4 linked regions of the Arabidopsis thaliana genome follow. The protein of the gene in region 1 interacts with the protein of each later gene in a pairwise test. Each region holds a gene or a part of one and is shown in the gene's direction. Other genes may lie near its edges. The genes, in order: AT5G43420, AT2G27290, AT2G22425 and AT1G27290.

The links.
Region 2: the proteins of AT5G43420 (region 1) and AT2G27290 interact in a protein complementation assay, tested with the Arabidopsis thaliana proteins (one large-scale study listed by BioGRID).
Region 3: the proteins of AT5G43420 (region 1) and AT2G22425 interact in a protein complementation assay, tested with the Arabidopsis thaliana proteins (one large-scale study listed by BioGRID).
Region 4: the proteins of AT5G43420 (region 1) and AT1G27290 interact in a protein complementation assay, tested with the Arabidopsis thaliana proteins (one large-scale study listed by BioGRID).

Annotation. Positions count from the first base shown.
Region 1 is NC_003076.8:17,446,280-17,454,838, forward strand, and holds AT5G43420 (RING/U-box superfamily protein), read left to right. Parts: upstream 1-5,208; 5' UTR 5,209-5,510; coding exon 5,511-6,638; 3' UTR 6,639-6,845; downstream 6,846-8,559. Other genes in the region: ETFBETA (electron transfer flavoprotein beta), read left to right, coding at 7,284-7,445, 7,525-7,809, 8,108-8,188, 8,292-8,386.
Region 2 is NC_003071.7:11,674,875-11,682,995, reverse strand, and holds AT2G27290 (FAM210B-like protein, putative (DUF1279)), read left to right. Parts: upstream 1-3,076; 5' UTR 3,077-3,230; coding exon 3,231-3,467; intron 3,468-3,953; coding exon 3,954-4,151; intron 4,152-4,239; coding exon 4,240-4,410; 3' UTR 4,411-4,691; downstream 4,692-8,121. Other genes in the region: NTL8 (NTM1-like 8), read left to right, coding at 1,041-1,221, 1,295-1,548, 1,621-1,818, 2,205-2,579; AT2G27285 (nuclear speckle splicing regulatory-like protein (DUF2040)), read left to right, coding at 5,099-5,257, 5,345-5,467, 5,900-6,118, 6,447-6,917; AT2G27280 (coiled-coil protein (DUF2040)), read left to right, coding at 7,383-7,967, 8,070-8,121.
Region 3 is NC_003071.7:9,510,595-9,518,306, forward strand, and holds AT2G22425 (Microsomal signal peptidase 12 kDa subunit (SPC12)), read left to right. Parts: upstream 1-4,100; 5' UTR 4,101-4,394; intron 4,395-4,478; 5' UTR 4,479-4,484; coding exon 4,485-4,763; 3' UTR 4,764-5,080; downstream 5,081-7,712. Other genes in the region: SLO1 (SLOW GROWTH 1), read left to right, coding at 1-486; AT2G22420 (Peroxidase superfamily protein), read left to right, coding at 2,747-2,950, 3,034-3,225, 3,297-3,890; AT2G22426 (uncharacterized protein), read left to right, coding at 6,423-6,635. UniProt on the Arabidopsis thaliana protein: Component of the signal peptidase complex (SPC) which catalyzes the cleavage of N-terminal signal sequences from nascent proteins as they are translocated into the lumen of the endoplasmic reticulum. Dispensable for SPC enzymatic activity.
Region 4 is NC_003070.9:9,476,890-9,485,344, forward strand, and holds AT1G27290 (uncharacterized protein), read left to right. Parts: upstream 1-4,515; 5' UTR 4,516-4,898; coding exon 4,899-5,310; intron 5,311-5,670; coding exon 5,671-5,687; 3' UTR 5,688-6,103; downstream 6,104-8,455. Other genes in the region: AT1G27300 (uncharacterized protein), read left to right, coding at 6,435-6,575, 6,844-7,305; NTF2A (nuclear transport factor 2A), read right to left, coding at 7,726-7,797.

The DNA of each region.
Region 1 (8,559 bases):
CCATTTTATAAGTGATGGTCAATATATTGTAGAATTTGACATGTTGCACACGCTCAAAATGCAGTTTCTGCTTCCTCCAAGGATCAGTTGCACACTACGCTACATCCTCCTTTGTATTACTTTCCAAGCCACTATGTAGTATACTTGGAAAGAACGGACTGACATCACTCATCAAAATACACAACACTCAATCAATCAGCTCACTAGGTCAATGACAAAACAATTTGGAATTGAATTACTACTGGAAAACACCTCAAACTTCAAGTGATTCTTCAGCTATGGTTTTGAGTACACTTACGGCTACTTGTGCTCTTTTTTTTTTCTCTTTTACCTTTGTTTTGCTTCGTAGTCTCTTTGGAAGTATTTTTTTTTAGATTCTTTTTTTCTATATTCTCCTCTCTCTTTTTTGCACCCATGTAAATATTCCATTAAGTAACCCTAATTATAACACTCGAACAAAATAAAATAACAATACGTCCTATACTTTTTCACATTTGTAAATCCTTATACGGAATTTACAACCGGTCTCTTTTTGAATGAGATTTCAATGACCATTTCAGGTTTATCTCAATTACAGATATTTTTATAATAAATGGATAGCCAATCTCCTTTTTTGTATGATATTACGTTGATTAAAAGATGATAAATCTTTTCCACCGAAATTAAAAAAAAAAAAAAAAAAGAATCAAAATTCACCGAGTTTGTTAAACAAGGAAGTTTTGGACCTTACACATTCGATACAGATTCTTGAACGCTTACATTTTTGGTTAATGGCTATGAATAGAAAAAATATCTCGGCCCATATAACTCAGATGGATCTGCGAATTACAAAAACCTAAGGAAAAGCCTTTAGCATTGTTCATTAGCAATTAATTCGAGCTAACATGCATGATAAATGTCGTCATTGAAATTTTATTTCAAGATTTTTGATTTGAAGATATCTAACTTGTTCTTGTTTAAAATTGATAGGAAAATATTACGTACCTATGTTTCATAATTTCATTCAAGTGTCATTTGGAATTTACACATAGTAAATATATTTTTTTTTTTTTTTGATTATACTATTGATGACTACATCAATACATATTTTATTCAATTTAATAAATTGAAATAATATGTAAAAATATACATTAAAAATGCAAAGCAATACTTTTTGTAATAAAAAAAAACAATCTTACAATGCGTTATTATAAAAATTTAAAACAAAAGAAAAATCATGAGTAATCAAATCGTACTTTCTACGCACGTGATAACACATGTGCTAGTTGACCGGCTTAGGGTTTTAATCTTTTTAATCTCACTAATCAGTAATCACTGATTACCTTCCTTTAATTACAATTTTATTTTATAAGATTAATGTAACTACTTAACTAGATATCCTCAAATAAAGAGTATATATCTCTCGTGTGTGGTATGTGACTGTGTGTATATGATCGGATGTACTCACGTGACACACCAGTGATCACGTTCTAGTTGCTACTAATTCCATTCATTTGCGTATAAAATAAACGTCAAACCAAACGCAAGTCGTGGAATGATGATACCATAAGTCCCAAGTCAAAGTCAATTGGGATTAAAGTCAAAAGAAGATTTAGTTTGACTTTATCAACCATTTGTTACGCGTGGTTCCTAATAGATAACGTTGTAATTTCTTATAAAGCAAAAACATAAGCACATAATATTAATACATGTAGGATTATGCAATTTCTAACAATAAAGAGATCAAATTGTCTAAATATGACACATATCATATAGGATTATACAGTTTTCTAACAATAAAGATATCAAATTGTCTAAATATGACACATATCATATGATTTATCAATGAGACTCGAATTGAAATAACTCTTGAAGTACATTCACTATGCTACTATAAATATAGAATACTTTTTTTTGTTCAAATAAATATAGAATATTTACTAATTCATATTTCAGAAGTTGTAATGTGGCAATCATCATGTATATTATATTATGGTAGGGAATTATCAAGTGAATTTTCTTCTTCTTCTAATTAATTAATGTGTAAAGTATGGTAATATATAATGGCTTTTCATGACGTTATTGGAAAATACTTTGACAAATTTTTCGTCATAAAAATTATTAGCGGTGAAAAAATCACACACCAATATTTTTTTTTGCTAAAGAAATCACACACCAACTATACAAAATGAATTCACGTAGCTTCGAACACTTTTATTTTATTTTCTTACCAGATTAAAAAAAGAAACACTATTATCTATATTATTTGAAATGTAGACAAATAAAATTATAAATATGTCATGACTCATGAACAAACCAGTGATACAAGGGCAACAATAGTGAAATGAACCAAGTTTATGATAAACAGATTTAGTCCTCTCCATGTGGATTGTAGCATTTGCAATGAGCATGAGCATGAGTTGTAATTGATGAAATTTGTGCAGTTCTCTGGATTGTAGCATTTGCAATGAGCATGAGCATGAGTTGTAATCAATAGTACAAAAAAGACACATGTAGCTATGCCTATATAATAACACGTACATATAATTTGTTTACCAACAAATGTTTGATGGAATATTTGTATACATCATTATATAATATTTATCTATTATAGTTTTTAATACGTATGGAAGGTACACAATTTTATTTATTCATCTCTATTTAAGGGGGAAAAAACATATTCCCGTTGCCTAAGTAATTTGCATGCAATTTTAAATCCTTTGCTAGCCAGCCTAAGCCGATCCCGAGGAAAGGGGCTAGGTTTAACAGTTTTGGTAGTTGTTCACAAATAAGAGAAAGTGAGAAACAATGATATATTACGACTCTCCTTGTCACCTTGACTAGTGTGAAACGAACGAAACAAAGATTCCGTTGCCAAATTATTATATAAGCAAAAGTTTAAAACTATTCTTTTCATTTCATTTTAAAGGTAGGCGTAGGCCATCAATTTTTTATTTATTATTATTGTCTTATGTGAAAAAGATACTAATTATTGAATAATATAATTACACAATCGTCAACATACACACACGAATACACGATAGACTACGGAAGCAGTGTCGGTCCATATTCTATTTCATTCTTTCTTTTGCTTTTTGTGGTGAATGTAATAGAAAATATGGTGAAAAATCAAAAAGGAAACGAAAATTGGAATCGTGTGTAAGATTTGACTTTTCTTCGGGATTTTTCCAAAAGGAACTAGGCAATTTTATGGTCTTCCATTTTATACCCCACCATGAAAGTTACTTGAATGTTTTCTTATCGGCATCATTGCAGTAATTACGAAAACAAAAGAAAATAGTTTTCATATATATTTTTCTTAAAAGTTATAGTATCCGATGTTTAGATTTTTGTTTTATTTTCCAATACGCTTATGATATATAAAAATACTATTGATGTAGCAGTTAATTTAAAATGATTTTTCTTATGTTGGTTGTAATAAAAATTGAATTTTCATATAAAAAACATCATAACTATTCGTTTTTTTATTTTTTTTTTATTTTTTAACACTCTTCGTTTGTTGGTGTAAGAGTATACTTTTTTCTTGTCAAGATGAATTGAGCAAGATATCAAAAATTTATTAAAGACAATTGAAATCAACAAAAGTTATACCAAAATGATATTTATCTTGCAGCTCAATTATTAGTAATTTTTACATGCAGTGTATGTTGTATATTTACTTAGTTTTGGTGTATACATATTCAAAAATTTACATTCAAATTCTAATATAGTTATTGTACTAATACAAAGCAATAGACTACACATAATATCATCAAAACTTGGTTCTTCGGCTAGGTACGTATACATAAATTACCGAAACAAATGTCAGTTGCGGAGGCTCAAGGGCTTCTACATGGACAATGGACTGTATTCAAACATTGGATTTCAAGAATATCATCTTTGAAGTAGATTGAGTTGTGTTGGTTACATCAAGGTTTGGATCGAGTTACGATATCATTCAACTCTAAAATTTTAAGTAGATGTATCACTATTTGATGGTTTTGAGTGTGTACCAAATAAGCCGTCTCAAAAATTCGGTGAACAATGTTGACTTTTAAAAAATGCCATCTCATTTACTTAACTAAGCATCAATATGAAAATATAGTTTGCATGTATAAATGTATTATAGTATAAGCTATTATGTGAATACAAAGGTATGGTGGAATGCATGTGCGCCTTTACTTTTTATTTTTTCCCTTCTTTTATTGAATTTGTAATTAGCAATGATTAATCTATGTTGACTAGAAATGGACGTGTTATAAAAGTCCTACTAAACTTTTTATTTTAAAACGTTTCCAATCATTAGTCTATGCCTCAAATAAAATTGTAAAATCCTAATTTTAACCTCTTCAATCATCTTCATCTCTTTAAGCTTTTATTCGTCGTACCTATATATCATATTAGCTATAGACTAGAAACGATATAATCGAATTGGATACTTACTTATTTTGTTGTTAAGATGAATTGGATGTTTTTTTTTATACTGTTTCTGATGAATTGGATGATTAACCAGTCTCACGTTGTCATAAATAAAACAAAACTAACCGGCCACTCTCATCATTTAAGTTATTTTATAATATAAAATATATATTTTTACAAAAAAATTCTTAAATAGTATGGGTGACAATTAATAGTTAACAAAGAAAAACAATTAATAGTTCTTAAATTTTGGATGACAAAAAAAGAATGGTAACATATAACCCTAACGTATTTTCAAAGTTGCGTTTTTGGTGAAGCTTATACTGTATACAGTACTAGAAAAACAATTTGAAATGATCAATATTTAAAAGAAGAAAAAAAATGTGTACGTGAGATTTATCTGAAACTTGAAAGATTCTATAATCGGTAACCTCATTACTACAAGAAAGTCTACAACTAATTATTAAATTGCAACCGACAATCATATAGTGTTAGATCATAAATCATATTCATAAACAAATATATCGATTTTAATAATTGCTAAATGGTATGTTTTAGTGACAAAATTTATATCATCATTACATCGCATTAATTAAAATTTCAAATTTATATCTACTTAGACGAAATTTCACTATCAGAAAATATCAAATCAAAATGAATAACAAGAATCAAAAGCAACATCACTCCAAACCCAAAAGGTACGTAGATAAAATTATATAATCATAACAATCAATGCAAACAATTTTATATATAAAAAAATCCTAGTTAATGCGAATATATGTCAGGTTTTTTCTTAAATAAAAAAAGTTCCCCACCACTAGTACATAAACAAACAAATTTTCAATTTTCCCACCAATCAAATTTAACTTGTATATTCAATTCTACTTTTAAATCTTGATATAAAAGAATTCTTGTAGTAAACGAGTCACACCGATCAAGAAAAATATTAATATAATCATATAAAGAGCCCAAGAAATCTCACCGAACTTTCATTTTACTCAATCCCTCTCTCCTCTGTTTTTCTTCTATACCAATCTTCTTTCTTCAAGAACTTTCAAAGTTTACTCTTTAGTTCTCCATTAGAGGATGAGATTCTTCTTATAAGTCAGATAATGGATCTATCAAACCGTCGCAATCCTCTCCGGGATCTGAGCTTTCCTCCTCCTCCGCCGCCACCTATTTTCCACCGTGCGAGCTCTACGGGGACGAGTTTTCCGATCTTAGCCGTCGCGGTGATCGGAATCTTAGCCACAGCATTTTTACTTGTAAGCTATTATGTTTTTGTTATCAAATGTTGTCTCAACTGGCACCGAATCGACATTCTTGGTCGATTCTCGTTATCTCGAAGGCGACGCAACGACCAAGATCCTTTAATGGTTTACTCTCCAGAGCTTAGAAGCCGCGGTCTTGATGAATCCGTCATTAGAGCAATCCCAATCTTTAAGTTCAAGAAGAGATACGACCAAAACGACGGCGTTTTTACAGGAGAAGGAGAAGAAGAAGAAGAGAAGAGATCTCAAGAATGCTCTGTTTGTTTGAGTGAGTTTCAAGATGAGGAGAAGCTGAGGATTATCCCAAATTGTTCTCATTTGTTTCATATCGACTGTATCGATGTGTGGCTTCAGAACAACGCCAATTGTCCTTTGTGTAGAACTAGGGTTTCTTGTGACACAAGTTTTCCTCCGGATCGGGTTTCTGCGCCGAGCACTTCTCCCGAGAATCTGGTCATGTTAAGAGGTGAGAACGAGTATGTGGTCATTGAGCTGGGCAGTAGCATCGGTAGTGACAGAGATAGTCCAAGACACGGAAGGTTACTTACGGGACAAGAAAGGTCAAATTCAGGTTATCTACTGAACGAAAACACCCAAAATTCGATCAGTCCATCTCCGAAGAAGCTTGACCGCGGAGGGCTTCCAAGAAAATTCCGAAAGCTTCACAAGATGACGAGTATGGGAGACGAATGCATCGACATAAGAAGAGGTAAAGACGAACAGTTCGGTAGTATTCAGCCCATTAGAAGATCAATCTCAATGGATTCATCGGCGGATAGACAGCTTTACTTGGCGGTTCAAGAGGCGATTCGGAAAAACCGCGAAGTTCTGGTGGTTGGAGACGGAGGAGGATGTAGCAGTAGTAGTGGCAATGTTAGTAATTCCAAAGTGAAGAGATCTTTCTTCTCTTTTGGGAGCAGTAGACGTTCTAGAAGTTCCTCTAAATTGCCACTTTATTTTGAACCCTAATAAGCCGCTTTGCTTATTTGTTTTATTTTCTTGTTCCTTTCTACATTTGATTTCTATTATTTCATTTTCAAATATTTTTGAGATGGATTTTTAAAATTATTTGGTCGGTGAGGTAGGAGAGAATATAGACGTGTTTAGATTTAGAAGTCAAAAAAGTTGAGTTGTATTATGTGTGACAGAGAAATTATGGACAAGTTTGAAAAACTTAAAATTATTTCTTTTAAACATAAAACTCATGGAGGGCTTCACACTTCTACGTCAAAATCTCCTCCTCATATAATCAATGATATCCAAATTACAAAGAAACCATAATCTCCTTGAAAACATCTATCTGATGTTTTTTGTTGTGTTAAAGCAAACATCATATAAATTCATCTTGATTTGGATAGAACATTCAAATGCCAAAACGAAAAATACCATCCATGATTTTTAAGGATTTAACAAACTTGGTAAGTCTCTTTGTACTAAATCAGACTTTACTAGTGTTGTTGAAGTAATGGACTCTGATCCACTAAGACCTATTATGGTATGTTGTATTGTATGACCCATTTTTTCAATTATTTTTTTCGGCCTAAACCAGCCTTTTACAGAAGCAAAAGGAAAAACTGAAACCCGAGACATCTAAACCGGATTAAACCGAATACCATGCCATTTCTTTTTGATGAGTCATCATCACCATCCTTTAGATCCAGAAATCAAAATTGCTTACTGCTTCATTTGTTCTGCTGTTCCCGGCCAATGAAGATTCTCGTCGCCGTTAAACGTGTCGTCGACTACGCCGTCAAGATCCGAGTCAAACCCGATAAGGTACACGCATAACCCATCTCTAAATCTCTCTGTAACCATTGAATCACCGTTAAATTTGATTCCTTTATCGTTGAATCAGACTGGTGTAGAAACCCAAAATGTGAAGATGTCAATGAATCCATTTTGTGAGATCGCGCTTGAGGAAGCGCTTCGAATCAAAGAAGCTGGTTTTGCTAAAGAGGTTATTGCAGTGAGTATTGGACCTTCACAATGTGTGGATACACTTCGTACTGGTTTAGCTATGGGTGCTGATCGAGGAATCCATGTTGAGACCAATTCTATTTTTCTTCCTTTGACGATTGCTAAGATCTTGAAGAGTTTAGCTGATGTTGAGAATCCTGGATTGATTTTCTTAGGGAAACAGGTATGTTTGGCTCTGATTTGCTTGTCAAGTTTTGAACTTTGGTTGTGTATGCGTCAAATCTCTAGATCTTGTTTTAGTGTACTGAATCTTAGCTAAAGTTGAGGTTTTTCAGGTTTTAGAATGCAAAAGATTCGTGTTTTGACTCGTGTGTTGTGGATTGTTTAGGATGATGAACATTGATCTTTGTAAATTCTTGAAAACTGTCTTAAAATGTCTTGAATAATGTTGAGTTTGCATAATGTTTTGATGAGGTTTGATGTGAAGGTTACTGATTTATAACGTTATTTTTTTTCTGTAGGCGATAGATGATGATTGCAATCAAACAGGACAGATGGTTGCAGCTTTACTTGGTTGGCCACAAGCAACGTTTGCATCGAAGGTAACAGAGTAGTTCCCTCGACTACAATCATATGTTATCTTTTGTCTCTGCTCTCCAAGTTGTGAGTAGTTTTTTATGTGCTCTGCTCATTGTTGTTTAGTAGGTTGTGTTGGATAAAGATAAGAATGTTGCAACCGTGGATAGAGAAGTGGATGGAGGTCTTGAGACTCTTAATGTAGACTTACCCGCTGTGATAACGTAAGTTCTAGATTCTTAGATGATTGTGTCATGATCTCTCTCGAGTTGAGGTTTATATATATGCATCAACTAACCTGCATATGTCAATTTGTTCACTGCATTCTTTGTGGAACTTTTTTTGTGATCACTCAAATTATTAAGCAAACTAGCAATTAAGCTTTAATAGAAAGGTG
Region 2 (8,121 bases), on another chromosome or scaffold:
ACAATATACTTTTTCATCTTATTAAAAGCAATACAATATTTTGGGTAATTCTTAAGATTTCGCCTTCAATATTAACTATATTGTAATCATCAAATAACAATAACCATATATAATCATAATTGTTGTAACCGTAATCATTTTAATCATAGATAGTGGTTAAAGTTAAGGTTAAAAAATTTTATAACTGTAACTGATGGTTAATAAACCGTACCCGTAATAACCGTAACCATAATCATCTTACGTGAACACTAAAATTTATATCCATCACGTTTAGATTAATCACCCATCTTTCGAAGCAAATAAGTTCCAATATGAGCTTAGAGGACATAAAACTAGTTTAGAGAAAGTTACACGGATACAAATTTGGATATATAGTTTAGTTAGGATATGATTTTATTGATTTTATTATATATTTTAAAAATAACTAAAACGTTAATGATGACGTAAGCTAATAAAGTAATAGATTAGAAATTGCAATAAAAAAATATAATGTATTTAATAAAATAGATTCATCGACAAAAAAATAATAAAATAGATTCATATAAAACTTGTATTACACAAAAGAAAATATCTTGGCGCAAGATAATAAAATAATTACAAAGTGATTTAAATTCATTTTGATTGCCGTCAAAAACAAAAATTCATTTTGATAAGTTATTACACCCAAAAAAACAAAAACAAAAACTTATTGGCATGCGGGGTACAAACACCGAGGAAGATATCGAAACACGTGTTTAAAAATGAAGAGACGATTTATTAAGCATCAATGAGAGAACTTCAGAGCTGGGTTTGAGTTCTGTCCAATAATACATAACCACGTTATCATTTTTGTCCTTTACTATCTCATTACACTCTTCTGTTATTCGCCCAATTCTTACAGTCATTGTCCACGTCATCCTTTTTCCCTCTGAAGCCGCCAAATATCAAAAAACACAAAACCTTTACCCGAAGCAAAGTAGCTGCACACTTGCCATTTATAAGGCATGTTTCTTCATCTAAAGCAAAGTATTTTCGAGTTCCTGAGCCAAAAAGATCAAACAATGTCTAAAGAAGCTGAGATGTCGATCGCGGTGTCGGCTTTGTTCCCTGGTTTTAGATTCTCTCCTACTGATGTTGAACTTATCTCGTACTATCTTCGTCGTAAAATCGATGGTGATGAGAACTCTGTTGCTGTGATTGCTGAGGTCGAGATTTACAAGTTCGAGCCGTGGGACTTGCCAGGTTTTACTTCGGTTTTCTTTCTCTTTATGTTTACTTTGGTTCACTAATTTGAATGTTTGTGCCTATAAAACAGAGGAATCGAAACTGAAATCGGAGAACGAGTGGTTTTACTTCTGCGCGAGGGGGAGGAAGTACCCGCACGGGTCACAAAGCCGGCGAGCCACACAGCTAGGATATTGGAAAGCGACCGGTAAAGAGCGGAGTGTTAAATCCGGGAACCAAGTTGTTGGAACCAAGAGAACGCTTGTATTTCATATCGGTCGGGCTCCTCGTGGCGAGAGAACGGAGTGGATTATGCATGAATACTGCATCCATGGAGCCCCACAGGTTCTTAAAACTTTCATTTTGAATAGGTTGAGTTTTAATGTTTTGAGATATATTGAAATTTGGATTTCACAGGATGCATTAGTGGTGTGCCGGTTAAGAAAAAATGCTGATTTTCGGGCTAGTTCGACCCAAAAAATGGAGGATGGTGTTGTGCAAGACGATGGCTACGTTGGCCAAAGAGGTGGTTTGGAGAAGGAGGACAAATCCTACTATGAATCTGAGCATCAGATACCAAATGGTGACATCGCAGAATCATCAAATGTTGTTGAGGTCAGCTTGCTTTTGAGGAATGTGTCTTTTAACGATGTTTAATACTGGTAAAATTATCCGCTCCAATCTTAATCGAAACCACATTAAATTCAATATAGTTCCGAAAACAGAACCGATTAAGAAACTAAAACCAAACCAACACCATAGTACCATACTATAACGGATTCATAGTACATTAGATTTCACTAAAGTTGTTATTTTACTAAAGCAGATTCTAAACTTAAAACGTAACAAACCAATATATCCAATGTTTGGTTTTTATTTTGGCTACTAATATTATAACTCAATAGACTAAACCAACACTTGGGCTGAACATCCTTAGTTTTCTTGTACTGGTAGAGTTTAGAGTTTGTAACTGAAGTTGATCTCTTTCTATTGCGATGCAGGATCAGGCCGATACCGATGATGATTGTTACGCCGAGATTCTGAACGATGATATAATAAAGCTCGACGAAGAAGCGTTGAAAGCTAGCCAAGCGTTTCGACCAACTAATCCAACTCATCAAGAAACAATATCAAGCGAGTCATCGAGTAAGAGGTCAAAATGTGGTATAAAAAAAGAATCAACGGAAACAATGAATTGTTACGCTTTGTTCAGGATCAAGAACGTTGCCGGAACCGACTCCAGCTGGAGATTCCCGAACCCGTTCAAAATCAAGAAAGATGATAGCCAGAGATTGATGAAGAATGTTCTGGCCACTACTGTTTTCTTGGCTATCTTATTTTCTTTCTTTTGGACTGTATTAATAGCTAGGAACTAAAGCTAGTTACGACATACATATTATTTATACATAAATAAATATAGTATTTGGTCTATGGCAATATGGCATGTTGAGCTAGTCTTAACAATTATTCAAACTTGTGTACAAACCAAAATTTTTATGGAAAAGAGAATATTTTCGGATAGTAAACCTTTATAATCTGGGTGAAAGCTTTGGGAAAGAGATGATAGTTCCGTGAAAATAGAGACAACAAATTTCACATATAGTAAATGTGAATAATACCACCATTTCCTTAAGTTTTGCTGTTTGTTGTATTAGAGATTGCAAAGTGATATTCTTAGTTATATACAATTGTAATAAATTATACAAAATCCATAAGTAAAATAAATTATTTTAGACTATGTTTAGATATACAAAAGTTTCAGTTCAAAATATAAACGCCTGAGAATCAAACAAATGTTGTTTGTAGTTTTTTATATTTATAAAATAGTCTAAAAATATTTTTCTTACTTATGGATTTTTTATACTATATTAAAGTTTTATATATGTAAAAGATTACTCTGGAACCTCTAATACAACAAATGGTATACCTTCAGAAAAAAATAAAAAATAATTGTGTGTCATACAATAAATAAAAATAATAAGGTGAAAAGATTTGCTTTCTGTTTTTTTTGGTGGCTGAAAAAAACAATGGCGATGATGCTTCTGCAAATTCCTCCTTCGTCTTCCTTGTTGAACACCAGAAACCTTCAAATCCGATTCTTCCACTCTTCAGTTTCAGCTTCCTCGAAGAAATTCAGATGCAGAGCCGTCCGTGAGAAGGCGGAGGACATTGATAAGAACATTTCGCCGCCGTCTTCTTCTCCTCCTCCTCCTTCCGCCGAAGAAGTTACCAAGAAATATGGCCTTGAAGTTGGTCTATGGAAGGTAAAATCAATTCGATTGCGCAATTTCTCGTTTTAATTCGTAATCTAAAATTGATGATTCTATCGCTATGGAAGCTTTAAGTGTAAGTAAAATAGTGTTTTTGGATGAACATGTGAGGACATATGATTGTTTCTGAGCTGAATGATAGGCTAATTCAGAGCAATTTTGGTATTAGTAGAAGCTATTGAAGCTTTAAGTGTAACTAAAATGGTGTTTTGTATGATTATGTGAGCAATTTTGTAGTTGTTGAAGCTATGGAAGCTTCTAAGGGTACTAAAATGGTGTTTAGATGATTATGTGAGTAGATATGATCGTTTTCGTGGTAGTTGTAGAAGTTATGTAAGCTTTTAACTATGCTAAAATGGTGTTTTTTTTTATCAACAAGTGAGCATATGTGATTGGTTAGTTTGGAGCATTTTTGGAAGTTGTAGAATCTATGGAAGTTTTTGTGTAGTAAAATGGTGTTTTGGATGGACTTGTGATTAGATATTAAGCTCTAAGGATGATGAAGGAAGTGATGGAGACAATAAGAAGAAGAAATCAAAAACAGATGAGGCTAAAGAGTTACTTGCAAAGTATGGTGGTGCTTATCTCGCTACATCTATTACTCTTTCTCTCATTTCCTTCTCACTCTGCTATGTCCTTGTGACTTCCGGTGTTGATGTTCAAGCTCTTCTTCTAAAGGTTACTACTTTCACTTCTTGATCATACTAAGTTTATGTTTTCTTGATCTTGGGTTGAGTAAAGCTGATTTTGATGTTTTGTGTTTAAGGTTGGGATTTCGACGAATGAGACAGGAGAGAAAGTAGGAGCCTTTGCTTTGGCTTACGCAGCGCATAAAGCTGCATCTCCGATAAGGTTTCCGCCTACAGTGGCTTTGACTCCTATTGTAGCCAATTGGATTGGGAAGAAAGTGGACAAGGAGAAGGATGATGACAAGTAGCTTACTTTGGAGGTATTATAATGTAGATGTTCTATATATTACTTGATAATCAACATACATAATCCTGTACAATCCTCACTTCTCTACCTTGTATGTACAAAAAAGATTGAAGCATATCTGAATATGATGATGAGTTAGAAAGATACAGAACCAAAGAGTGGCAGAATCCAAGTTGTGATATAGTTTTAGACTTGTCTATTTAATATGTGGTTGGTTGGAAATTACGACTTCACGATTCACTAACCTCTAGACATTTGGTAAGTGGGAGAAGTAGTTGTCAAATGGTTGGGAATGATCTCTGTGATCCAGAGCATATGACCTCGATCGTTTTGGTGATGCATTTTAACTTGTACTCTAGAACCTCATTATCTCGGCCCATCAAAATATGAAAACATTGGGCCGTAACAATTGGGCCGTAATCATCTATACCATCTATAGTTAATTGGATCTTTTTATCTCCTCCCTTCCTCTTTCACTTTCTTCCATGGATTACTAAATTCCTTAATCCTGGGAAAATCACACCAATCAACTTTTGTGAATTGTAACCCTAATCGATTCTACAGCGAAATCTACCTATTTCATGCTTGGGTTTGATTAGTGTTTTTCCAGAATCTGGGACTTCGCAGGAATTGCGCTAATTTTCAATCGATTTTGCAGAAGTTTGTTGCTCCTGGAATAGAAATCGAAGATGAAGAAGTACGGATTGCAAATCAGAGCTCCTTCCCAGAAAAAACAATCATCATCTCGACCTCCACTTCGACCCGCTTCAATATTTGATGAAGAAGAAGATCACGACGTCGAGAAGGAGATTTCTCGTCAAGCAACAAAGACCAAAGCTCATAAAGAAGTAAGCTTTTTTCCTCCACTGACTCGAGTTCTTGTTTCTTATATTTCCTTCAATTTGATCTGCTTGATAAGTGATTGTGTGTTTTAGATTGAGGAGCAGCATAAGAAAGCCTTAGAGGAGGATCCTTCTGCTTTTTCATATGATGAAGTTTATGATGATATGAAACAGAAAGCTGTTCTTCCTCGAATGCAAGATCGTGAAGAACGCAAGGTAATGTTTATCTCTTAGAGAGCTTAAGACTTGAAGCTTCTGTAGCTTAGGGAATCAAAATCTATGTTTCCATGTTCTTAAGAGGAATCTATGATCTGTGTCGGGCTTGGTTTATCATATGATTGAAGTATAGGAAGCCATAACTTAGCTGGATTTTCTTATTACCCTTAGAAACCACCAAAATCTTGATATCCTGCAATACCCTAACAACTACCAGCCTATAACCCATGGCTACATATAGTTACCAAAAAGTGTAAAGCTTAGTTACTTTGTTTTAGTTAAGTAGAGGTGAAGTTTCTGAGCCTCTACATGCGTCAGTTTTAGTAGTTTCTTATGGTGTTACATTCTCTGTAGTTGGGGCACTTTAATTAGGTTTCAGAATGACTTATTGGATTGCTTATGTTTCATTTAGTTTTCTTTTTCTAATTGCAGCCAAGGTATATACAGAATTTGATGAAACAGGCAGAACGTAGAGAGAAAGAACATGAGATAGTTTATGAGAGAAAGCTTGCGAAAGAGAGGGAGAAAGACGAACATCTTTTTTCGGATAAAGAAAAGTTTGTTACTGGCGCTTATAAAAGGAAACTTGAGGAACAAAAGAAATGGCTGGCAGAAGAAAGATTGCGTGAACTTCGTGAGGAAAGAGATGATGTAAGTTCTGTTTCCTTGTTCATTTTATTTCATGTTTGTGTTTCTATCTCTCTCGTCTATTAAACTAGTACTTGCTAGGATAGCTGAAGTCCTATCTTTGTCCTTTTACGTTTCTGTCTTAAGTAGCTTTGGTTTGGGAACTGTGTCAAGGTAGTTTGCATGTGGTGGCTTTTAGGACATGATGGGTGGGTCTAGAAACCATTTTCATGTCTCTGTATTAGCAATGGGGAGATATATAGCATATAGCTTTGGTAAAATTAAAGTGATTTGTTTTTATAGCTATTAATACTCATGTCAGCTCTTTTCCTTTGTTTTCATCTTCTGTTAGGTTACTAAGAAGAAAGATTTGAGTGATTTCTACTTCAACATTGGAAAAAATGTCGCTTTTGGAGCTCGAGAAGTCGAAGCTAAAGAGGCAGAGAAGCTCGAGGAACAAAGAAAGGCAGAGAAGCTCGAGGAACAAAGAAAGGCAGAGAAGCTCGAGGAGCTGAGAAAAGAAGTAACAAGGGTAGAGAAGAAACGAAAATCACCGGAGAAGGAAGTATCTCCTGACTCGGGAGAATTTGGATCAAGTCGTAGCAAAAGTTTGGAGCCACTAGAAGCAGAGCAAGCAGTTTCTGAAAAGGAGATGGGTTCAGATGGCACTGAAGAGAGAAAGTCATCAATCAAAGAGGCAGCAAAAGAAGTGCCGAAAGCCATTAACGACCAGAAGAGAAGAGAGGATGCGATCGCTGCCGCTAAAGAGAGGTTCCTGGCCCGTAAGAAGGCAAAAATTGAAGAGTATGTGCAACTTGGCTGATTTCAGTCCAATAGTTAAATCTTGGTGAACTTGTCTTCTTCTGATTATCGACCACCCTCTTTTTTATAAGTAACTTTTCAAGATAACGCTTCTTATATTACAGGGTCTACTTCCATTACAAATGCAATAGGTTTGATGGTTAATAAAGAAGAGAACGAACAAAGAAAAATCCCCTACGTTGAGATGCACATTGTCAGGGTCAGTTTAAATGTCCTAGTGGATCAAATTGAATGGTATATAGGAAAAAGTAAAAGTTAGAAAATTGAGGAAAAAGGAAACTTTGAAAGCTAGAATTTGAGGAAAATGGAAACCTTAGAAATTGGGATTTGACAGAGAATTAAATGGAAAGACCCAAGCATTGTTTTTTAGCCACTGACGACCAAAGAAATTCATTCTGATTTTTTATTCCTGACTAGTGCAAAAAATCTATAGCTATAAACGAACCTATTGGCGATTGATTCTGAGATGGAGGAGGCGAGACTCTCGACGTTACCTTTTAGTGCAAGTTTTAATCCTTCAAACCCATTAGGGTTTTTAGAGAATGTCCTTGACTTTATTGGGAAAGAGAGTAACTTTCTGAGGAAAGACACGGCTGAGAAAGAGATCACCGATGCTGTTACTACCGCAAAGGAGAGGTTGAGGGAAACGGAGAAGAAGACGGAGTCCATGGATGTGGAGAAGGTTAGACCCTCGACATTGCCGTTTAATGCAAGTTTTGATCCTTCAGATCCATTAGGGTTCTTGGAGAAAGTCTTTGAATTTGTTGGGAAGAAGAGCAATTTTCTAGTGAAAGACAAGGCTGTGAATGCGATCATCACTGCTGTTACGGACGCCAAGGAGAGGTTGAAGGAAGAGGAGAAGGAGAGTGTAAAGCAAGCAACAGTAAAGATTAAGAAGTACGGACTGCAAATTAGGGCTCCGTCACAGAAAAAGCAATCATCATCTCGACCTCTACTTCGGACTGCTTCAATATTTGGTGAGGATGATGAAGAAAACGATGTGGAGAAGGAGATTTCTCGACAAGCTTCAAAGACCAAGTCTCTTAAAAAGGTATGGTTATAAACATATAATTACCTCATCATTCTGACTCTGTTTCTTATGTACCCATTCAATTTTATCTTCTTGATAAGTGATTTTGTTGTGTTGATGTAGATTGAGAAGCAGCATAAGAAAGCTATAGAGGAGGATCCTTCTGCTTTTGCAT
Region 3 (7,712 bases), on another chromosome or scaffold:
AACCTAAACCCTCAATTGAAACATTACTCTATAATGGTAGATCTGCTAGGGAGAGCCGGGCTATTAGAAGAAGCAGACAGGCTCATGGAAAGTATGCCAATGGAGGCAGATGCTGCGGTTTGGGGAGCATTATTATTCGGTTGCAGGATGCACGGTAATGTTGAGCTGGGAGAGAAAGCGGCTAAGAAACTTCTCGAACTTGATCCCAGTGATAGCGGGATCTATGTGTTGTTGGATGGCATGTATGGAGAGGCTAATATGTGGGAAGATGCAAAGAGAGCGAGGAGGATGATGAACGAGAGAGGTGTAGAGAAGATTCCTGGTTGTAGTTCCATTGAGGTTAATGGAATTGTCTGTGAGTTCATCGTTAGGGATAAATCGAGACCGGAATCTGAGAAAATTTATGATCGCTTACATTGTCTTGGAAGGCATATGAGGAGCTCGTTGAGTGTACTATTTTCGGAATATGAGATTACTAATAACTAATGGGACTGAATGAAACTGCTGAGTTTTGTATTAAGGCATCTTTGGTCTAAACTAGTATAGAAATGGGTTTGAGGGCAAAAAAAAACTCAAATGACATCTCCTGTGTATTAATTGGCCAGTTTAATAAAAACATAGTAACATTAAGAGTGTCATTTTACATTTTTCAACATGATTTATACACTGAGTTTTTTTGATTTAACATTAACCTAAAACTAATAAATTATTTATTATTTGTTAAACAGAAACAAATATATACATAATTAAAAAAAATTGTGTGAATATGTCAAAATGATACTCTTTATTAAACGGAAGGAATATTAAAAAACCCATATTTAATGAATTAAAATGTGGGTCAATATTTATTGATATCCTCTCTTCTTTTGGTAAGGATTGGTTTGGTGAACCTCAAATACAATGACCTCCATGTGCGTCCCATTTCCTGATTTCGAATTCTATAAATTTCTTAGGAAACTAGATACCTTCCGAGTCCTATGTATTAATTAATTGTGACCGTTTCTCCGAAGTGTAATAAATTTGCATACGAAAATTGACAACCTCTTTTTTTGGTTCAACCAAAAATTGACAACTAAAGATGGGGACAACATAATCTCTTAAAAACGGCAACGTATCAGTACCTTTTAGAGTTTCAGAACGCAAGGTCATGATGATGACGACTTCCGTAGTGTCAGTCACTTTTCGAGTTTCAGATAATTTCTTGTTTGATTGCTAAAAAATATGAACCAATGGCCTGAAATTGTTGCCTCCCTTTCTCACAACAATTCTCTTATCTCAAGACACCAACTCACTATAATATTTTATCCACTAAAGTGTTGTTATATAACAAAATACAAAAAATCAAAACAAAAATTGACATCTAAATTTTAAGTAAATTATGCATAATTTAGAATTATATTGCTAATCTTTTTATCTTAATTTATTAATTTTATCCTTAAATTATTAGCCGTAGAGTAACTATAGCATTGAGCACTACGACGACACTGATCACATTAAAGTATTAAACAATAAATGAATAAAAGATGCATGCTTTTTTGTAAAAAAAAATATAGTATGAATTATTTGGCCAACCAACGTGAATGTGAAGATAAGGTTTTGTATGCTTTTTACAAAGTCAAAAAGTGCCTTGACCATACGTTAGGTTTAAAATCAAGAGTTGAATAATTCACTCACAAATTCATCGTGACCTTTAAAAGCCTATCAATAAATGTGTGTTAGTTACACTATTTGATTATGAACATTGACCAGGATTAATGTTTGGTTCTAGCTAGATCATTCGCATTTCATAAATAGTACAATTTTTTCATTATTGTTATCAATAGTATTAATTATAGCATTATTTCTTGTATACGTTACATAAACAAAATTCTTGTATAAATATTTAACTAGTTGTTGAATACAATAACAAAAATCTAACTATTCATATTATACAAAAATAATCACTATTAGTATTAATGTATCTTATTAATATGGAGTAGTAATTATTTTTGTATGTTATGAATATATATTTAGATTTTTCTTAAGATGTTTTTAATAGTAATTATTTTTCATAAGATGTTTCTTATTAATGTATTTTTAGGATTTTCACACATCTTAAAAAACATATTAAAAGTTGATTAGAAATATATTATTCTTCTTGAAGTTTACACATCAATAATAACTAGTAATAAATATTGCATAGAAATTTTAAAAATGACTATCTTTTCGAATCAAAAAAATTTCCTACAAAATACAATAATAAACAAAGAGAGTAGTACTGTTCATCTAAATACTGTATAATGGATGTTTTACCAATTTTAACAATTACGTACAAAAGTTTCACACCTTTATAAAAAAAATTTGATCAATTATCCTTTTATCTTCTTTATTTTTGCCAGCTAATATACACTGCAATAATCCAAACTTAACAAACATTTAACATTACTTCAGATTCATCATTCAATAATTTCACAAACCCATAATTTTACCAAATTACTACACTAATCCCCCATTGGCACCAATTCTATAATTAGAAAATTTATTTCTTTATTTATTTATTTATTTATTTCTATTTATTAAAGAAATAAATTATAGAAATTGGAATGCCCACCACCACCAGAGACCACACTTGCACAAATTCCATCTATAAACACAAAAGCCTTTAGTATCATTCTCGAAAACCACCAAAAACCTCTTTATAACCCAACAAACAAAGTCTCTACTTCTTCTTCAATCACTGAAACACAACACCAAAAAAGAAAAAAGTATGTCTCTTCTTCCCCATCTCATCCTCTACCTAACACTTTTGACGGTGGTTGTTACTGGAGAAACTCTCCGACCAAGATTCTACAGCGAGACATGCCCTGAAGCTGAATCCATAGTAAGAAGAGAAATGAAGAAAGCAATGATCAAAGAAGCAAGAAGCGTCGCTTCCGTCATGCGTTTCCAATTTCACGACTGTTTCGTCAATGTAAACACTATAAATCTTTCTCTCTGTTCTTGATCTTTACTCTGTTTTCCTCTCTGAATTTTTCTTTGAATCATCAAATTCAGGGATGTGACGCATCTCTGTTGCTTGACGACACACCAAACATGCTTGGTGAAAAACTATCACTTTCCAACATCGATTCACTAAGATCTTTCGAAGTCGTTGACGACATTAAAGAAGCTCTAGAGAAAGCTTGTCCAGCTACTGTTTCTTGTGCCGATATCGTTATCATGGCCGCTCGTGACGCCGTTGCTCTTGTAAGTCAAAATTCAATTTCCCCGGTTTAGTGAAATCTCGGTTTTGTAATTTTGGTCTTTGAAAAAACCAGACAGGAGGACCAGATTGGGAAGTGAAGCTAGGGAGGAAAGACAGTTTAACAGCGAGTCAGCAAGATTCCGACGATATAATGCCAAGTCCAAGAGCCAACGCAACTTTCTTGATTGATCTCTTCGAAAGATTCAATCTTTCTGTAAAAGACATGGTTGCTTTATCAGGGTCACACTCAATAGGTCAAGGTCGGTGTTTTTCAATCATGTTCAGACTTTATAACCAATCCGGTTCTGGTAAACCGGATCCAGCTCTTGAACCGAGTTACCGTAAGAAGCTTGATAAGCTTTGTCCTTTGGGTGGAGATGAGAATGTGACTGGAGATCTAGATGCAACACCTCAGGTTTTTGATAATCAGTATTTCAAAGACTTGGTTTCAGGGAGAGGGTTTCTTAACTCTGATCAGACTTTGTACACGAATCTAGTGACGAGAGAGTATGTGAAGATGTTTAGTGAGGATCAAGATGAGTTCTTTAGGGCTTTTGCAGAAGGCATGGTGAAGTTGGGTGATTTGCAATCTGGGAGACCTGGTGAGATTAGGTTTAATTGTAGAGTTGTTAATAGAAGGCCTATTGATGTATTGCTTGTATCTTGAATTATCATTAGTAAAGAGAAGAAATCTTAATTATGACTTCTAAATTGATGCAAATCTTTTTAGCTACATGCCATGGATCTTGGTTCTCCAAAACTTTGATTTTGGTTTATGAATACTGGTCACTGCTAAAGCTACAATCTGGTCACACCAGTCTATAAAATAGTAAACATTATCTAATCACTGAAGTTGTTGTCCCAATAAACAAATTATGGACTGGACAAGTAGCAACATTCTAATTCTGAGGTACACACAAAGAAACTTAAATGTAAATATTCCTTGTTTCAAGGTTTCAGAATTTGCACATATACAAAATCTCGAAATAATTAAGGCACATTAAAAACCGCCGGTTCACCCGGTTATAGAGTAATCTGACCGTCCACTTTATCCGGTTTACTTTTAAACCGATTTTGTGGTCTTAGCTCATAAATGTCAAGAGTCCTTTCTTTTCTTCCCCATTGTTGAAAATCAGGTTTACAGATTCAGTGAGAGATCAGATCGCTAAAGGTTTGTGCAATTAGGGTTCTCAGATTCTCTCTTTTGTTTAACTTTGGATTCAAATCGCTAATGGTTTTTGATTTCGTTGTGTAGAAGAAAATGGATTGGCAAGGACAGAAACTGGTGGAGCAGCTGATGCAGATCTTACTGGTGATCTCCGGCGTTGTAGCGGTGGTTGTTGGCTACACAACGGAATCGTTCAGGACGATGATGCTGATCTATGCCGGTGGTGTTGTTCTCACGACTTTGGTTACTGTACCTAATTGGCCTTTCTACAATCTTCATCCTCTCAAATGGTTAGATCCGAGCGAAGCCGAGAAGCATCCCAAACCAGAAGTTGTCAGTGTTGCTTCGAAGAAGAAATTCTCTAAGAAATAGGTCTGATTCTGAATCTCTCTCTCTCTCTCTCTCTCTCTCTCTCTCAGAATTGTTTGTATGAGATATTTGTGGATCGGAATCTTAATTATGAATTGAATATTCTGGGTTGATTCTTATAATTATCTGTTTTTGCCAAAGGAATTTGCTTTTGAATCAATGGCTATGGCTGTAATCTGGCAATTTCACTGAATTGTGTAGATTATCTATCATCAGAGAGTTTTAGATGAAAAAGTCTTATGAATCACAAAAGTCTCAGTTTTTATGAAAATGGTACATAAATATCACACCATCCATTTACACTCTGTGTTAAGCTTGTGTGCAAAAACCAATGCTAGTCTTTGATGCTTTGCTCCTTCTTATTTTCTTGAGTCGAAGTAGAAATAGTTTGTGTGATTCCAAACTGTTCCGCTAGTCGCTGGTCAGAGGATTTGCACGGGTTCATATTCCGGGAGATTCGAGTCATCTGGCGAACGCGAACGCTTAAAGGTAGGTCATAGGCTTATGAAACGAAATGACAGTTGAATCAGCGAACGCGTACAGGTTTGGAATCAGAATTTGAGAGAACCAACATTTGGCAGGATGCTTGTAAATGAGCTGTGGAGAAAAAGGAGTGGTTTAGTTAGGTCAGCATTAGGAAGAAGCAGAGGATATGAAAAGTATACCTTCACCAGAAGGATGAAGCAAATTCACAAACAAAGAGAGAGCTCTCCGGAAGTAGCAATAGCCAAAATCTACATGGTATCGCAAAAAAAATACATCATGTGGATAAACAATAGAGGAAAATTCAGTGATTGTAAGAAACTAGTCAACTCTAGAGACAAAATCAAATACAAGGTATATATGACAAACGTATATCTTGAATGCTCGGCTAGTGTCATTACCAATGTGGTCAAGAAAAGAGGTTTCTGTGTGAATTGGGTAAAAGGTTGTGAACCTGAAAAACCATACAATAAGCATATTACTCTAATACTCCATAAGAGAATAGGACAAGAAAATTTGGGAAACATACGCAAGACATAACAAGTTGACTCCATAATTCTTCATTGGACATTGAGAAGTCTTTTCTGTTTGGTTTTGTCTGTTCATTTGGATCTTATTTGAGCTTCAGCCCATCAATAAATATGAAAGGGCCTGTTTAAAGCCCATCAAATAATTGTTTTACGATACCACATTTTTGTGTCCAACATTCAACACAATAAAGGTTTTGTGATTTCTCACACACAATTAATATAAAAAAAAAGTTTACAAGACTGATATATTCATGAGATAATAGACACGTTTACTAGATCCGTGTTTAACGTAGATCTTCTGTTGTCCTCTGTGTTATTCACTCATTAAGTAACTTTGTTGCATTCACTGAGACTGTGAGACATTGACCATCGAAGCATTTTTGGGGATTGACGAATATATCTATATGCTTATCCTAACTTCGATGAGATTATACATTATAGTAGTTTATACGTAAATCTAAGCATAAGTATTGATATAACAATTAAGAAAACGATAATCAATCAAGATACATAAATTTACAGAATCTGACCTAAGATACCAGTGAAAAGTGAAAACATAAAAAAATTCAATTTTGTAATTGTTTTATATGTTTATACTTTTTTCCGCAAGATAGTAAACAAAATTTGTAAGTTCTTTTTATTTTTTAAAATGCATATAAAAAAGAGGTGGAAAAGTCAAAGAAATCAACGGATAGAAAAGAGAGATATTGGCGTGGCGTGTGGGAAGCGGGAAGTGTTGATGGAGACAGCAAAGGGAAGTAGCATTCTCAAGCACGAGACATCGCCGCTCTCAGACAAATCCTCACCGGAGCGACAGCGACTCTTCTTCTTTCTTCTTTCTTCTTTTCTCTATAATGTATAGTACTTGTTAAAATACTGAATTTGCGGTGGAATTATACAACTAAATTGATAAAAATATATTGGATGTTAAAGTAAAAAAAAAAAAGTAGAAAGAATTTAATCACGTCTAACTCTTAGTAAATCTCTACATATAAAGTAAACTGGTTGTGTGCATATGTAAAGACACATGCATATGATAAAGTTTTTATCTTTTTTCTTAGCCAGCAATAAAGTTTTCTTTTTGGCCAAAAATGTTTTTTTTATTAAAAGGCCGAATTTTTTGACTTTGAATATCTGCAAACAAAAAAAGAGATAGGTCCCATTAATTGCTGACTCGTTCTATTCCCTCTGGACCACTTGCAATAACCGACACGTGCCATATACTTCGAGACAAGACAAATTATACTATACTTAGCTAATCTTTTAAGCCGATACGAGCCGTATAAGCTGTCTCCTTCAATGGGTCTTACTAATCGTATTCAATTTTTTTTAACACTTACCTAAACTTTGTGATTAATCATTTTTTTTTGTATTTTAACTTAGATTGAGTTGTATATTAAATAACAAGAAACTAAAAAAATAAATTCGATGAAAATTGACTGTGAATTAAGCAATTTAGAGAATATTTGCAACTAAGTCTAAATTTCCCAAATTAGAATTTTGAAAGTTTTCAGAGTTAAAAGTCTTGAAAGAGACCATTGGTACGATCACATCTCAAATTTTCTAATTTGATAAATTAATGTGACTGCAAAGCTGTATATCTTTATCTTTGAATAAAATATACAATCATCTTTGAAAATTTAGGACAATATGCTTTTTTAAATATTACTATATGATATTAGTTGAAATATTGAAAACGTTTCACCATCGATGCTATTGTGAGCTTTTGATTTTCTACAAGCGGGCCCTCGAAAACACGGGTGTCTAAAATATTTGGAAATCTTATTCTGCAAATAAGTACACTAAAACTGTCAAATTTTAATTTAACTATAGCATAATGCAAAATTTGTAATTAAGTAATAATCCGATTGGACGAAAATATCTTGTTAATTCTATAAATGTATTTTCTTTTTTTTTGATAAAAATTAAAGCTTTCTTC
Region 4 (8,455 bases), on another chromosome or scaffold:
CCAGCCAACAACAAGCATAACAACTCCAACAACTATCGCGGACAAAACCGTAACAACAACAATCGTGGTGCTAATTCATACCAACAGCCAAGAAACGATCAGCCCTCTTCTCGTGGTTATCAAGGAAAATGCCAAATCTGTGGAGTTTTTGGCCATAGCGCTAGACGTTGTTCACAGCTTCAGATGTCTGGCGCTTACTCCACCCCATCTCCAAGTCAATACCCTAATGCTACTGTTCCATGGCAGCCCCGTGCAAATATGGCAGCCATGTCGTACAATCCTTGGCTTCTTGATAGCGGAGCAACACACCATCTTACCACAGATTTGAACAACCTTGCTCTTCATCAACCTTACAATGGTGGAGAAGAAGTCACAATTGCTGATGGCTCTACTCTTCCGATCACTCACACTGGTTCATCAACTCTCTCTACTCAATCTCGTTCCCTTGCTTTAAACAATATTCTATATGTTCCCAACCTGCACAAAAATCTGATTTCAGTTTACAAATTGTGCAATGCTAATAAGGTTTCTGTGGAATTCTTTCCTGCCCACTTTCAGGTGAAGGATCTCAGCACGGGGGCCCGGTTACTCCAAGGCAGAACTAAAGACGAGTTATACGAGTGGCCAGTTCCTTCAAACACACCCATCTCTTTATTCGCTTCACCTACACCAAAAACAACACTTCCTTCATGGCATTCAAGGCTTGGTCACCCGTCTCCGCCTGTTTTAAAATCCCTTGTTTCTCAGTTTTCTTTACCAGTTTCAAATTCCTCTCAAAAACATTTTCCTTGTTCTCATTGTCTCATTAATAAAAGCCATAAGCTTCCGTTTTATTCAAACACAATTATCTCCTACACACCTCTTGAATACGTTTACTCTGATGTCTGGACTTCTCCAGTTACATCTGTCGACAACTTTAAATATTATTTAATCCTTGTTGATCATTATACCCGATATACATGGCTGTACCCATTGAAACAAAAATCACAAGTACGGGAGACTTTTGTGGCGTTCAAAGCTCTAGTGGAGAATCGTTTTCAAACCAAAATCCGAACATTATATTCTGACAACGGTGGAGAATTCATTGCGCTACGACAATTCCTGCTAACACACGGCATTTCACACTTGACCTCTCTTCCTCACACGCCGGAACACAATGGAATTGCAGAACGAAAACATCGTCACATCCTCGAAACCGGGTTAACTCTTCTCACTCAAGCCTCTATTCCAACTTCATATTGGACATATGCGTTTGGAACTGCGGTTTACCTCATAAATCGCTTGCCCAGTTCTGTGCTCAATAATGAATCGCCGTATTCGAAGCTCTTCAAGACTTCACCAAATTACCTCAAATTAAGAGTTTTTGGATGTTCGTGCTTCCCATGGCTCCGCCCATATACCAATCACAAATTGGAAAGAAGGTCACAGCCGTGTGTATTTCTCGGGTATTCCTTAACCCAAAGTGCATATTTATGCCTTGATAGAAGCTCTGGTCGTGTCTACACTTCAAGACATGTCCAGTTTGTTGAGGATCAATTTCCTTTTTCCATCTCCGATACCCATTCAGTTTCTAATTCAAGCCCAGAAGAAGCTTCCCCTTCATGTCACCAACCCCCATCTCGCATTCCGATTCAGTCATCATCTCCGCCACTCGTACAAGCTCCGTCGTCGCTGCCGCCCCTAAGCTCAGATTCTCACCGCCGGCCAAATGCTGAAACTTCATCGTCTTCGTCCTCGACGAATAATGATGTTGTGGTATCGAAAGATAACACACAAGTGGATAACAGGAATAATTTCATAGGCCCAACAAGCAGTTCTTCAGCCCAAAGCCAAAATAATTCTAATCCAAGCTCATCCATCCAAACCCAAAATGAGCCCAATCCGAGCCCGTCACCAACACCTCAAAATTCTAGCCCAGAATCTTCACCATCGTCTTCTACCTCCGCCACGTCCACAGTCCCAAATCCACCACCACCACCTCCGACAAACAACCACCCAATGCGAACCCGAGCTAAAAATCATATAACCAAGCCCAAAACGAAACTCTCCCTCCTAGCAAAAACAGTTCAAACCCGACCTCAAATACCAAACACGGTGAACCAGGCTTTACGAGATGAAAAATGGAGGAACGCTATGGGAGAAGAAATCAATGCCCAAATACGGAATAATACATTTGAATTGGTTCCACCAAAACCAAATCAAAATGTTATTTCCACAAAGTGGATTTTTACACTAAAATATCTTCCTAATGGTACTCTTGACAGGTATAAAGCAAGATTGGTGGCTCGAGGTTTTCGGCAGCAATATGGACTCCATTACTCTGAAACTTTCAGTCCTGTGGTTAAATCTCTCACAATTCGCCTAGTTCTACAATTGGCAGTGTCTCGCTCATGGACAATTAAACAACTAGACGTAAACAACGCTTTTCTTCAAGGTACATTGACGGATGAGGTGTACGTCACACAACCACCTGGTTTTATCGACCCCGATCGACCACACCACGTTTGTCGCCTTAAGAAGGCGCTTTATGGCCTGAAACAGGCTCCACGCGCTTGGTACCAAGAGTTGAGAAATTTTGTTTGCTCGTTGGGATTCACCAATTCTCTCGCTGATACATCAGTGTTTGTTTACATCAACGACATCCAAATCGTCTACTGCTTGGTCTATGTTGATGACATTATTGTCACGGGAAGTAGTGATGCGTTGGTAATGGCTTTCATCACCGCTCTTTCTCGGCGATTCTCGTTGAAGGACCCGACGGATTTGGTATATTTTCTTGGTATAGAGGCAACAAGAACCTCACAAGGTCTTCATTTGATGCAGCATAAATATGTTTATGACTTGTTGTCTAGGATGAAGATGTTAGATGCCAAACCGGTGTCCACACCAATGGCGACACATCCTAAACTTTCACTCTACTCTGGCATTGCTCTAGACGAACCCGGAGAATACAGGACAGTGATCGGCAGCTTGCAATACTTGGCGTTTACACGACCGGATATTGCGTATGCTGTGAATCGATTATCACAATTTATGCATCGTCCCACAGACATTCATTGGCAGGCTGCAAAACGCGTCCTTCGATATCTTGCGGGAACTGCTACTCATGGTATATTACTTCGCTCAAACTCTCCTCTCTCGCTTCATGCATTCTCCGATGCTGATTGGGCTGGGGACAATGACGATTTTGTTTCCACCAATGCATATATTGTGTATCTTGGCTCTACACCCATAGCTTGGAGCTCGAAGAAACAAAAGGGAGTCGCACGTTCTTCCACCGAGGCCGAGTACAGGGCTGTTGCAAACACAACTTCAGAAATTAGATGGGTATGCTCTCTTCTTACTGAGTTAGGCATCACATTACCAAAGATGCCTGTGATATATTGTGACAATGTTGGTGCCACATATCTCTCTGCAAATCCGGTTTTCCATTCAAGAATGAAGCATCTAGCATTGGACTATCATTTTATTCGCGACAATGTGAGTGCCGGTGCACTACGAGTCTCTCACATATCAACACATGACCAACTTGCCGATGCTCTAACCAAGCCATTGCCTCGTCAACACTTTCTTCAGTTTTCAAGCAAGATTGGAGTGAGCAAACTCCCTCCATCTTGAGGGGGCATGTAGAGTATATAAGTAAAGGATAGTTTAGTAAATCATTAATCCCTAATTCATTCTAATGTAGTCCCTATATATATTGTAATTATATCATCTAATGAATTATTCAGCCTTCAATACTATAGTTTGATCATGTGCTTACTTTCCCTTCATTTGCGATACTTCAAGGTTCTTGCTGCCACTGTTTCTTTGAATGCGTCACATGTTTGAACATGTGTGTTCTTTTTGGATCGAAGCTTAGCTCTTTAGATGGAACTGAATAAGTAAAAGAGGTCACTGGATAAGCTCTGTTACTAGAATAATAGGAGGGCTTCTGCTTCACATTTGTAATCCTCTCTCTTTCTCTGAATTGATGTTGCAATTGCTTGTCATCAGTATCTGTATTTCCATAGATAACTGAACTCATTAAAGGGCAACCGAAGCTGCTTCGTGGTTTATGTTTCTTCTTTGTGGGCTATTTTGCTTTGCACTTTCACTTGTTTCTTAGTTTTGGTTTGATTTTTCATACTGGGCCCTGAGCAAAACAATTTTAGTTATATGACTTGTGAAACTTAAATGGGTTTTAATCGAATGGTAACTTCATCTAATTTGTTTGAATAATTCATCATGGACCTTAATGATAATATCTTGAGTCTACTAATCATTTCACAAATCCTTTCATTTTCCAACAGCAAGTAGCCTGATTTTTGAACCTCAGCGATAGACAGCTTAAAGTGCGGTCATTCTCGCAAAAAGCTATCAGTCTTTATTTGATTCACGAACATTATACACGAAAGTCAAAATTAAATAACCAAAAAAATTAAACAAAAAGCAAACAAGAAAACGACTTCTCTGGTATGATTGGAACAAATTTAATAGAGAGAGAGGTTAGATAAGAATGTGGTAGAAGATAAGACCCAACTACGCGTCATAACTGGGTCCCATCTTTGTCTCTTTCCCTTCTTCACTCGCCAACCCCATCGCGTGTCCCCACGCTCCTTCCCTTTACTTTTTCTCGTTATCCAAAACACGACGATTCTTCATTTTAGATTTTTTTCATTAATAAAAAAAAAAAAGTCTTTTATTGCAGAAATTTCGATCGTTTTTGTTGTGTGTACAGAGAGATTATCGTGTTTTGTTGGCAATCGCCATTAAACCTTCTTCCCTCTAACCCAATCAAATTTGCGGCTCTTTCTTTTATCTTCTCGCCTCGGTTTTAGCAAACCCTTTAGTTATCTTCTTCCTCAAGCAATTTTTCTTTTGGATTAGATTGGTGTTTTCTTTTGGTTTGTGTGGTGATGATGAGAAGGCAACGAGATGAACAACAATCTAGGGTTTTCTACGATCTATCATCTCTTGTTTTGAATCTTCTCCGTTCTCCTCCTATGCCGATTTCTTTACCTGATCATTTCCCCGATCCGCCCGCTAGAATTCGTCCTCCCTTTTCTTCGCATCGTTTTTCGTCTTCTTCGCCTTCTTTGGCTCATATTTCTCCGTCTGGATTCGCGTCGTTGCTGCTTGGTATATCTGTGGCTCTTATGCTATGTGGATCTGTGACTTTCTTCATCGGGTTTCTCTTGATGCCTTGGGTTCTTGCTCTGATTTTGGTTTTCTATGTCGCTGGCATCGTTTCTGCCATTTCTATGGTCGGGAGGTCGATTCTCTGTTACGTCTTGACGCCACCTTCTCCTTCCGGAAAGGAGATTTCTGGTAATTTTGTTGAATTTTAGGGTTAAGTTTGTCAAATTGGTTTCAATGATTCAAGCTTTCTACTTTCGTCTCGGATCTGTTTAGATTTTAACCAAAGTTTCCTTATTGATCATCTAGAAATGATTCCACTGGGTTTTGGTTCTGTCCTTATTTTGATAGAAATGGAGGTTCGAATTAGGGTTTTATTGAAAAGCACACCGATGTTTGTTCTGTCTTTGACTGAAACGATATTGTTCTTTTGTTTCCTCGTGGATCATATTATTCATGTTCACATTACTTTTGTTGTCTGAAATTAAACCTATGTTTGTATTAGTTTCATGTTCTTGCAATAATGTTTGTGTTTGACATGTCTATTCGCAGAATGGAAGCTTCTGTGAAATGATTAAACAACAGAGGTGAAGAATCTATACATCATCCGGAAGCAGAGCAGAGCGAAGCAGAACAAAAAAAAGAAGAAGAAGGATTGATTATATAAACACATATATCCGATAGAGTTTTTCTATGTTCTTTATCTGTATTTTGTTGGGGGGGTTTGGGAAAATCATGTGGATATCAGGGAGTTTTATATTTCTTTACATTTCGAAAAAAGAATTTTTCTATTTAACTACTGTTAGAAATAGAGAAGCCTTGTTATTTGTGCTTTCATGTATGTCGTTTTTATGTAACATGATCATTTCTTAAAGCATACAAAAAGATTTTAGGATTTCTGTTGCACTTCTTTCGATTTCCTTGCATTTTCGAAACACTCTGTGTTGATATCTCTTCCTTTAAATCTTCTTACAATATTTGCTCATTCTTGATCTCTTTTATGGTTTTAAATAATTGTCTCTTCAAGTTCACACGGAATCTAGTGTGAATCGAGGTTTAGTCGTGCAGAGTTGTGTGTGTTATTACATGTTTTATTATTGTTTAAGTATATTTATTTAGTGGAGGACTATACGCTATTTGCACATCTCAATGTCAAATTGCTCAAAAATGGTAGAGGTGCCGTGCCGTCAATAGATGTCACGTGTCCTGACTTGCCTTCTCAATACAAACAAAAATACTCTCTACCTAAAAAAACACAATAAACAACAAACGCATCTTTGGAGCGGCGGTGAGATTAGAGAAGAAGGGTTTGTGAAATGGAGTCCAGTGAGGATGTGGAGAATCTGAGTAGAGCTATTGAGAAGCTTCTTCATGAGAAGAGGAAGAGAGAAGCTTCTGGTGACGCCTTCATTGAAGACGCTGATGATCAGCTTTTCCTCTCTAGCCTTATCTCTCAGGTACTTTACCATCGCTCTGTTTTCTCCTTTGTTGATTTATCTGATGTTGCAGCCAATCAACTTTCTGGGTATATGATTGAATCATGAGTATTTGAGTGAGTCTGTGTAATTGTTTCGCTGTGATGTGTCTGCTTCGATTTTGATGAGATCCAACAAATACAAGCTTATCTTCATGATTGTGTTTAGTTGCTGTTTCATGTCCACAACATTATTTGTATTGGGATGTGTCCATTTCAGGCTTGTGCTAATTTTTTTGCCAATAACTTAGTTGGAATCACCAAACCCCAAGGGGAAAGAAGATGTCATAACCGGAGAAGAAGAAGAAAAAGAAGAAGAATCTGCAGATTCTTCACCATCCAAAGGAAAAAGCGAGGGCCAGAGACAATTGGAAGAAAGTATAGAAGAAATAGCTAAAGACATCAAGAAGGTGAAGAAGCAGAACAAAATAACCCATGTACTTCTCTCGGCTACGATCATCCTGACATTGGTTTGGCAGCTCTCTGAGTACTCCATGATTTTCATGTTGAAAGATAGAATAAGCCACCCAGTCAGATCCATCGGAGGTATGCTTAATGGAATGTTCAAAGGTAAGTTACGTCCAATCAAGAACCAACTTGCGGGGACTTCCAACTCCAATGACCAAAACAACCATGGGAATGGATCACACACTGGACCTCAACTTCAAGTGCCCGAGCTGTTGCGAGAATTCGGTTTCGACGATGAAGAATGATAGCTTCCCTTTGTGACTCAATAATACCAGTTGTTATTTAGGAACAGGGGTCACCCTCATTGTTTCTTTGCTTTTAGTATAAGTAGTTTACTTTTATATGATCAAAATGCGAAAGAATAGTTGCTTTCTCAAACTTTTCCACATGAAAAAGGGTTCCAAAAGAGAACCGTATTTCAAAAAATCTTTTGTTTTACCCTTACTGAATCATGGTTCAGTGCCCGAAAACAAAAGGAGTCATCTCAAACAAAGTAACAAATAGCTCCATTGATTAAAATAAAAACAGACAGCAAACCACCTGAAACAAAGCTTAATGTTCCAAATCTAAAACCAACTCAAACAGTTTTTGAATAGTCCCAAACTTTCCACCACTCTCTTTTCAGCTTCCAATAATGGTTCCATGTACCTCTGGCATCAAATTCCTCAGGCATAGTTCAACCTGAATATGTCATTGAACACGTAGTAGTTTCCCTGATTCGATATCAAATGGAACATCTGGACACAAAACACAAGTATGTCAGGAATCAGGCAAAATCCAAACAACAAGCAGTCATCAGATTTATGTTACAATCATATAGTGATCCAGTGCGTGATTCACAACACAAGAGATGCATACGTAGCTCATTACAAGTAGGTCAAGTTGACAGAAATTCATCCCACTTTGCTCTATACATACATTCCACAAGTTTGATGTTCATACAAATATGATAACAAAACACAATTAGTACCTTGATATGAAGAACTAAAATGACAAAAACATCTCTTATCGAACAAATCTAGTAAAGAGCGTTCAACACTAAAAAGAGAAAACAATGTCTTACGGCAGATGATACAAACACTGCAAGCATCTCAAACTATTTAGAGTTGAGACAATTTAATCAAGAAGGTGGCATATCTACAACTACAACAAGATCACATATGAGCATAGTTGAAAAAAACTAGCAGAATCATGGCAAAGCAGTTTCCCAATACTACATTCACGAAGTGCAAGGAGATAGAAGCTCCACAAGACAAAATCTAAATGACACAAGATTACATCTACTGATCTACGCAATCATTTGGGGGAAACCTCTTTTATCTCCAACCTTATCACAGATCTATCACTAAATGCATCAGGGAGGGTCTAAAATTTCGAGACAATTCCAGATCATTG